Linked DNA regions of Arabidopsis thaliana. The protein of the gene in region 1 interacts with the protein of each later gene in a pairwise test. Each region holds a gene or a part of one and is shown in the gene's direction. Other genes may lie near its edges.

Evidence for each region.
Region 2: the proteins of AT1G08280 (region 1) and AT3G61500 interact in a protein complementation assay, tested with the Arabidopsis thaliana proteins (one large-scale study listed by BioGRID).

Annotation. Positions count from the first base shown.
Region 1 is NC_003070.9:2,605,794-2,610,671, forward strand, and holds AT1G08280 (Glycosyltransferase family 29 (sialyltransferase) family protein), read left to right. Parts: upstream 1-2,083; 5' UTR 2,084-2,614; coding exon 2,615-3,811; 3' UTR 3,812-4,178; downstream 4,179-4,878. Other genes in the region: TIL1 (DNA polymerase epsilon catalytic subunit), read left to right, coding at 286-392, 730-1,099; AT1G08270 (vacuolar protein sorting-associated protein), read right to left, coding at 1,055-1,092, 1,184-1,544. UniProt on the Arabidopsis thaliana protein: Galactosyltransferase involved in the biosynthesis of type II arabinogalactan. Possesses galactosyltransferase (GalT) activity in vitro, transferring galactose from UDP-galactose to a mixture of various oligosaccharides derived from arabinogalactan proteins.
Region 2 is NC_003074.8:22,760,101-22,764,358, reverse strand, and holds AT3G61500 (BPS1-like protein), read left to right. Parts: upstream 1-1,970; coding exon 1,971-2,495; intron 2,496-2,575; coding exon 2,576-2,678; intron 2,679-2,784; coding exon 2,785-2,962; intron 2,963-3,586; coding exon 3,587-3,731; downstream 3,732-4,258. Other genes in the region: ACS1 (ACC synthase 1), read left to right, coding at 1-864; AT3G61490 (Pectin lyase-like superfamily protein), read right to left, coding at 4,222-4,258.

The DNA of each region.
Region 1 (4,878 bases):
TTACTCCCATTCTTTTTCATTTTAACATATGGCGTATTCACAAGTCTTCTGAATAGATTAATCTTGAATATGAAAAGTCCACTGAAGCGTTGTTTATCTTTACAGTTAAAAACCCTCTTTATAACTGATTTCATTCACAAATCCAATCTTATCTCTGGAAATGTGGTTCTTGAAACCATGTTTACCAATAGAGCTGGATTTTTTTTTGAATGGGTTTTAACGATAGTCTTCTCAATTTTTGTCCTCTAGACCTACAATCTTGCTGATTTAATCTCTTTTCTATAGGTAATGAGAAAGAGTCTGTTGAAGTACATTAAAGTAAAAGAGTGTGCTGCTGAAGCCGAATTTCTTGATCCTGGGCCATCCTTCATCTTACCTAATGTAGCTTGCAGGTATTATTTGACCAAAACAAATGCTCGTGATTTAAATAAGCATTCTTGTGATTGGCTACGTCTAGTAATAGAGAAATTGTTTTCCGAAATCGAGTTGTCTTTTGGCCACAAACATAAATCCCTGCGAATCCCCTCCTTTAGAGACATCCTGGTTCACCCTTGTGGTGATCATCACATCAAATCTACACAGCAATATCAAACTTGCAACACTAAAGAAAAGAAAACTTAGACCCCTAAATCCTAGACAATAAATACTTGACTTTTTTGCAGTAGTAAGCAGTAAGACAGCTGGAAATGTATACACTGAGTTTTGATTGTACTGTTTTTCTTGTTGCAGCAACTGTGATGCCTACAGAGACCTAGATATATGCAGAGACCCAGCACTGTTAACAGAGAAAGAATGGTCATGTGCGGATACACAATGTGGGAAGATATATGACAGAGAGCAGATGGAGAGTAGCCTTCTAGAGATGGTGAGACAGAGAGAAAGAATGTACCATATGCAGGATGTAGTGTGCATTAGGTGCAATCAGGTGAAAGCGGCTCATTTGACAGAGCAGTGTGAGTGTTCTGGTTCCTTTAGATGCAAGGAGAGTGGGTCAGAGTTCAGCAAGAGGATGGAGATATTCATGGATATAGCAAAGCGCCAGAAGTTTAGACTGTTAGAAGAATACATCTCTTGGATCATATATGGCCCTAGCTATTAACAAAACAATAGAGAAAGACATCGTTTATAGGTTAATTGATTTGTGCATAGGTTTACAACCTTTTTCAAGCTCTCAAATATTTACCGGTGAAGAACTGTGGAAAATTCACAGGCAAAATCACAGCTTCCTTTAAAGCTTGTTTGGCACTTTCAAGCCCAGCAACAACTGTCCACTTAACGTTAGGCTTTTCCCTTATAATAGCAGAGTTTAACCCAGCTCGAAGCTTTGATTCTTCTCCATCTCCTCCGTCTTTGGGCTTAGTCTTAGGCTTCGTAGCAACCGCTGCGTCGCCATTCGATCCTTTCCCCGATCCAACTTCAACTAATACCGCACGAATTTCCTCAGCACGACGGAGATACTCGTAGAACTTGTCGGTGATGGCATCTCTGATCCTAGGGTTCTTCTCATATTTGAGATAGATTTTGAAGTATTCAAGCGCGTTCATGTACAAAGGAAAAGCTTTGTTGTAGTTACCAGCATTGTCCTCTTTACCGCTTGTCTAACGTACTCGATCGCTTGTTCTTTGAAATTACTGTACATATTTTTTTTAGGGTTTATAGAAATAAATTCCTTCAATCATAAAATTGAATAATTTATCGAAAAAAATCAGATGATTAAAGAAACCCTAGGAGAAGCGTGGTTGATCCATGATCAGAAATTTAAGGGAAAGCAGAGAGTTTTGAAGTCGGTGAGGCTAACAGAGAGAAAGGAAAATTTTGATTTTTTTTTGACGTTTGAAAATAGAAACAACAGAGTGTTTGTGTGTAGAACACAAAGACGTCCAGGCGTCTGAGTTTCTAACTGTTTTGATGAATGACAAGGAGAATACTCGCTGGTTTTAATACCGGACCAAAAATGGGTTTAAAAGGTTCATTTAATGGGCTTAAATTTTGTGTGTCCAACGACTCCAATAGGGTTAGGCAAAAGACGCAGACATAGAACCTAATTGACAAGTCTCTCTACGTACGGCTAGAGAGAGTAATACCCGAACCAGATAATGGTTTCCCAAAATAACCTCTTTGTATATGATTTATGAACCCACTCTTTCTTCTTTAATCTTTCTTTCTATAGCGCAATTAAGATCATGGCTTGCACCTCCAGAAAAAGAAAGAGAGAGAGAGAAGTAAAGAATGATTAGTTTATTGAATTGGATCTTTCGTCTTTCTTCAGATCTCCTCCATTTAAGGACCTCCCCATATCTCTCTCACTCACCACCTTCCTTTAACTTCATTTGAAAACTTTCTTTCCCTAACCAAGAAACCAACAATGTCAATGTCGTCTCCTTCTTTTTGACTTCAATTTTACATTTTTTTATGTTTTAACTTCCTTGCTAATTTAGAATCATGAGTTTTCTAAAGCTCCTGTGAAGATTTTGAATACAGATTTCTCAAAGTTCTCTCCTTTACCATTAGACCCGTTAATGGATCCGACTTCAAAATCCGACCCGCGCCGTCAATTATTGGGGGTTTAAAAGCTTCCGACTTTCTTTCTTTCTCATCTATCACGGCGGCGTCGATGAAACGATCCGTTAGACCTCTCTTCAGTGCTCTTCTCTTCGCCTTCTTCGCCGCTACACTCATCTGCAGAGTGGCGATTCGTCGGAGCAGCTTCTCCTTCGCTTCCGCCATCGCTGAGCTTGGTTCCTCCGGTCTCATGACTGAAGATATTGTATTCAACGAGACATTGCTCGAGTTCGCCGCCATTGATCCCGGAGAACCTAACTTCAAACAGGAAGTCGATTTGATTTCCGATTACGACCACACTCGGAGAAGCCACCGTCGACATTTCAGCTCCATGTCAATAAGACCAAGCGAGCAACAACGCCGTGTGAGTAGAGACATTGCTTCCTCCTCCAAGTTTCCGGTAACGCTTCGTTCTTCTCAGGCTTATCGTTACTGGTCAGAGTTCAAAAGAAATTTACGGCTTTGGGCTCGTAGAAGAGCTTATGAACCTAATATCATGTTAGATTTGATCAGATTAGTTAAGAATCCGATTGATGTTCACAATGGTGTTGTTTCGATTTCGAGTGAAAGATACTTATCTTGTGCAGTGGTTGGGAATAGTGGTACATTGCTAAATAGTCAATACGGAGATCTCATTGATAAGCATGAGATTGTGATTCGGTTGAACAATGCGAAAACAGAGAGGTTTGAGAAGAAGGTTGGATCGAAAACAAATATATCTTTCATAAATAGTAACATTTTGCATCAATGTGGGAGAAGGGAGAGTTGCTATTGTCATCCTTATGGTGAAACAGTGCCTATTGTGATGTACATTTGCCAACCGATTCATGTTTTGGATTACACTTTGTGTAAACCATCTCATCGAGCTCCTCTGCTTATCACGGATCCGAGGTTCGATGTCATGTGTGCTAGAATCGTGAAGTATTACTCGGTGAAGAAGTTCTTGGAAGAGAAGAAAGCGAAAGGGTTTGTCGATTGGAGTAAAGATCATGAAGGCTCGTTGTTTCACTATTCGTCGGGTATGCAGGCTGTGATGCTTGCAGTGGGGATTTGTGAGAAAGTTAGTGTCTTCGGGTTTGGGAAGTTGAATTCAACCAAGCACCATTACCATACTAATCAGAAAGCAGAGCTGAAGCTTCATGACTATGAAGCAGAGTATAGATTGTATCGAGACCTGGAAAACAGTCCCAGGGCCATTCCATTCTTACCAAAAGAATTCAAGATCCCTTTGGTACAAGTTTACCATTGAATATACATATATACCATCAAGAGTTTTGTCATGTAGTTATTGTTGTTCAAGCGAAGAAGCTTGTTGGCAAGAGTGTCGTTTTGTCCAAGTCCCAAAGATTTTGCTTCAGATTGGGCAGTGAAGATGCAACACTTTCCCAATGGTAAGAGTACTCTTTACAATTTTTAGATTTGTGTTGTCACACATATTGAAATATATATATGGTATATTTGGACGATATTCTCACATCAATATAAACCAAAATCATTCAGATTGACGTGTCGATCGAAAAAGTTAATCCCACACGCAAGTTTAATACGTTTGAGTAGTACGTTTATTCATGCAAAACACAAAAGCGTGAATCCTTGTAACAACAAGAAGATCGAAAGCTATTATATGTAATGAAAAGAGAGACAATATAATAGGAAGAGTCTTTAATTGAGGATTATCGTACAATAATGAAGTGAAGCACACCAATTTTCTCTTCTAATACAAATACATGAGAGAAACAGAAAATTCACGTGCTTCACAAAATTTTAAAGAGAGAAACCATCTTTATTAAGAAGAAAACCCTAATTAAGATTGAAATCATACTTACTACTAATCACTAAGATAAATAGGGGTTTACTCGAGCCACAAAATGCTCTCCGACAAATACATCCCTCGGACAAAGAGAAGTTTTTGTTAGTGAGCATAATTAAACCTCCTTTTTTTCTTAAGGTTACTTATTTAGTAGCAAAAATCCCCTACCAAACCAAGAACCCTAATATCACATGCATATTACGTAACACACAAATACTCAAATCTATGTCTCAAACTAAAGCAAAATAAAATAAAAACAGACAGATGACACCGGGTTTCATGTAGACTTAATCGTAACCGTATCCAAAGGAAAAAGATCTAAATTTTAAAATGTTGCTTCATTTTATGTGGTAACTTTATATATTTTGATTTCGAGTCTAACAAAGAATTTCTACCTTTTCAAGATAGAAATTCTTTGGTAGACTTGAGATGTTTTGTGGCGCACAGTTTGAAGCAACATTAGAAAATTAGGATCTTACCTTCCACAGTCTCCCCGGTGTATCTAA
Region 2 (4,258 bases), on another chromosome or scaffold:
CTGATCATCTCAAACCCTCTTGGAACATCTCTCGATCGAGAAACTCTTGAAAGCCTTGTCAGCTTCATCAACGACAAGCAAATTCACTTAGTATGCGACGAAATATACGCAGCAACGGTTTTTGCGGAACCGGGATTCATCAGTGTTGCAGAGATCATCCAAGAGATGTATTATGTTAACCGTGATCTGATTCATATCGTCTACAGTCTTTCAAAGGACATGGGTCTTCCCGGTTTCCGGGTTGGAGTGGTTTACTCTTACAACGATGTTGTTGTGTCCTGCGCAAGGAGGATGTCGAGTTTTGGATTGGTCTCGTCGCAGACACAAAGTTTTCTAGCTGCTATGTTGTCTGATCAGAGTTTTGTCGATAACTTTCTTGTTGAGGTTTCGAAAAGAGTAGCGAAGAGACACCATATGTTCACGGAAGGGCTTGAAGAGATGGGGATTTCTTGCTTGAGAAGCAACGCGGGTTTATTCGTTTTGATGGATTTGAGGCATATGCTTAAGGATCAGACATTTGATTCCGAAATGGCGCTTTGGCGAGTTATTATCAATAAGGTCAAGATTAATGTCTCTCCTGGCTCGTCGTTTCACTGCTCTGAGCCTGGTTGGTTCCGAGTCTGCTTTGCTAATATGGACGAAGACACACTCCAAATTGCACTTGAACGAATCAAAGACTTTGTGGTTGGAGACAGAGCCAACAAGAACAAGAACTGTAACTGCATTTGCAACAACAAAAGGGAGAACAAGAAACGTAAGAGTTTTCAAAAGAATCTCAAGCTGAGTTTATCTTCGATGAGGTACGAGGAACATGTTAGGTCACCAAAGTTGATGTCTCCTCATTCACCATTGCTTCGAGCTTAAAATTTGTTATGATTATACTCAAATAGATTGCGTATATATCAATATAACAAAATAATTTGTATAAATTAAATAGATTGTGTATATTTCAATATAACAAATATATTACATGATTCAATAAACAGGTTCAAATTGAAACTAGAGAAACTATCTAACTATCAAATATAAAAAAATTCCAAACAAGGATGAAGTTTAAATGTTGCATATGTTTTGCTCGTTTTTTTTTGTTGCTTATTTTCAATCAAAATTTACAAAATTGAAATATTACTTTGGACTTCTGATATCTTTGGATTGATCATGTGTAAATGCCAAAATTTAAATTGTTTTAATTTTAGTTAATTACAAATGATAAATTTTAAAAACATGTCAAAACCTAATCAGAAAGATCTGATTAGTTTTTTTTTTCCTCTGATTTTTGTTTTACTAGATATAAAGATTGTCATTTGTCAATCACATAAATATAAAGATACTCTTTTATTAGGCCAAATTAGAATATAAATATAAATATTATGATTTGCTTCTTTTTCTTATGTTGTGTTAACTTAAATTTGTACCATTTATCAAATAAAAAAATATTATCTTTGTTTTAAAAAGAAAGTATCTCTTATTGCTAGAAAATTTTAAAAATGTAAATTTGAATTATATTTTTAGGCCAAATTTTTAATTATCTTTATATGTCATATAAATAATATTTATTAACTTTAGATTAATGATTTTGTCCCAAAATATCCATATATTAATGAATAAATCCAGATGTGATTATTGATCAAATAACTACTGTAGGCAGAAGAAGATTTGCCAAAATTATGTCTTCCCTAATTTATATCAATCACATCACGGGATACTTATATATTTATTACGATGTCCTCTCTCAATAATACAGTAATACCTATATAAAAAAAAAAAACTTGTGGTACATTTCTCGTCTACCTACATCGATACATTTTGTTGTGATTTCTTGACTTCGGAAGGTATAGTTCTCGTTCATTATTGAACTGTGATTTTGCTTTCGAATTTTCTTGGACATCAATGTTCATATAAACGACAGTTTATCAAACAAATCGAAATTCTGATGACTTCTTTTTTTTATTTCTCAGAATCTTTTCAAGATGATCTCAAAACAAGGGATTACAGCGCAATGTTTCTTCCGGCCAAAGAAATTTTTCAGGATGTTGTTTCCAAAGAAAAATTTATTATTGAACAACTTTGAGTCATCATTAACCGAGAGATTGAAGAAACTCATACCTCAAAATACAGATGAGATTCTCACCTTACCTTGGATGATTCTAGCTATGGAATTACTTTATGATACACATAATGATATAAACATTCTCATCACTGATCTCAAGCTTCATTATATGACTGATTCGGAGCATGGATATTGGTTTGAGAATTACATGAACATAAATACAAAATTGCTCGATCTGTGTAACGCTTTTATGTCCTTGCTTCGTCACATGAACCATGGCATTGTTTGCTTAAAGTTCCTTAGGCATAAATTAGAAATGAAATCTGAGGATCTATGCACTGAGATTTGTTCCGCACTTGATAGTTGGAGGGAAAATATCACCGCGGAAATATCGAAATGCCGCGAAGTTCTTGGGAGATATGTTGAATCATTAAACTTTCATAAAGTCAAGAATTGTATAAAAGAAGCAAAGGTTCTTATGAAGGCGTTTTATGGGGCTAATGTTCTTACGGCTTATATCTGCAGTGTCTTTGTGATAGTTTTGTCGAATTCCGACAAAGATATTTTGCCTATATATGTCTGGAAGCAATCATTGTGGAAAAAAGATTTCTTGGATTTGCAGACTATCGTAAACGTCAAAACAAGAGTTAATATTTCCACTGATGGAACAATGGTACTCCAAGAGTTAGAATCTGTTGCTGCCAAAATGAAGAAGATGTATCTTACAATTCAAGAAGGTGATGATCTTGTTCAAGAGTCCTTTAAGGAATCTATTGAGGAATGCAAAGAAGAAGTCGAGAAACTGGAACATGGGTTAGATGAAATCTTCAGGAAAATTGGCAACTTGTCTGATGTAACCTTTAAAGGACGTGAAATCATTCGTGACGGTTTATTTGATTCAATGATTAGGGAGTTAACTCATGGACCATACATATATGATTAAATCTCATTTTTTCTTTATCTTTAGACAATGCCTCTAATACTATATGTATACATTAAATCCATTTGGAACTATTTTGAAACAAATAAATTGAACTCATGACCCTATATGATCTTCTTTTCGATTGTACAATATGACTTTGGATATATAAGATTTTCAATTTTACCCATTTTCTCTCAGTGTTGTAATCTCTTTATGTACTGAACAATAAAACCCTTCGTACTGGTACAGTGGTACATTAATAACTTAATAATGAACACTTACACTAGTATCTTCTGATCTCATTTTCAATGAATGGTAATATAGTTTTCTTCATTTTGTATTTATGTTCATATATATAATTCTCAAACCAATATTCCTGCTCCGAATTAGTCATATCATGAAGCTTGAGATCAGTGATGATAATGTTTATATCATTATGTGTATCATAACGTAATTCCATAGCAAGAATCATCCAAGGTAAGGTGAGAATCTCATCTTTATTTTGAGGTATGAGTTTCTTCAACCTCTCGGTTAATGATGAACACGAAGTGGAGGAGTTGAATCCAAAGCAAAAGGCCACAACGTGTTGACAATACTTATACTACTGCTTGCAGCAGAAGCTCACAAGATGTTACACCGCATCCAACTTCTGCTTGTAGCGGAAGGTCACGTCACGATAATAGAGGCAGTCGAAGGTTAGACGACATTGAAATGGTTTTGTTGCCAATAGGCGGTCTTCCAACTTCTGTGCGTAGCTGAAGTAAGTGCAACATTAACTCTTTTTTATTTTGGTTGATTTCATTGTTTTCGTTAGCAGAAAAACCAGAGCTTAGAGTGTTGGCTTAGCATTGATCTGTGTTTGCATCATAGATTGTACGTGTTTCTTCTTTCTGTTGCTGCCTTTGGACACAACACAGTCTTTAGAGACCCATTAAAATGAGATTTGATCAACTCTGTTGCAGGAAAAGGTTCAACATTTCCATTTTCCTCCATGACATGAGAAAGAGAGGCATATAGAACAATCCAAGAGAAAACTTCTAAAGAGTCTGGTCTGATTCAGTTTCTTTATGAACAAGTAATCATTGTCTCAGCTTCTCTGTTTCATCTCCCAATCTCACATGGATTTGTTCACTTTCTATCGATAACTTATACTTCTTCTCACAGATTGGTTAACCAAAATCACAGATAATCCCTGCAGAGAAATTTTCGTAAATATGAAATTAGGTCAAAGAAAAAGACTACAACTTTGCTAACTCATTTGATAACTACAAGTCTTAAGCTCAACA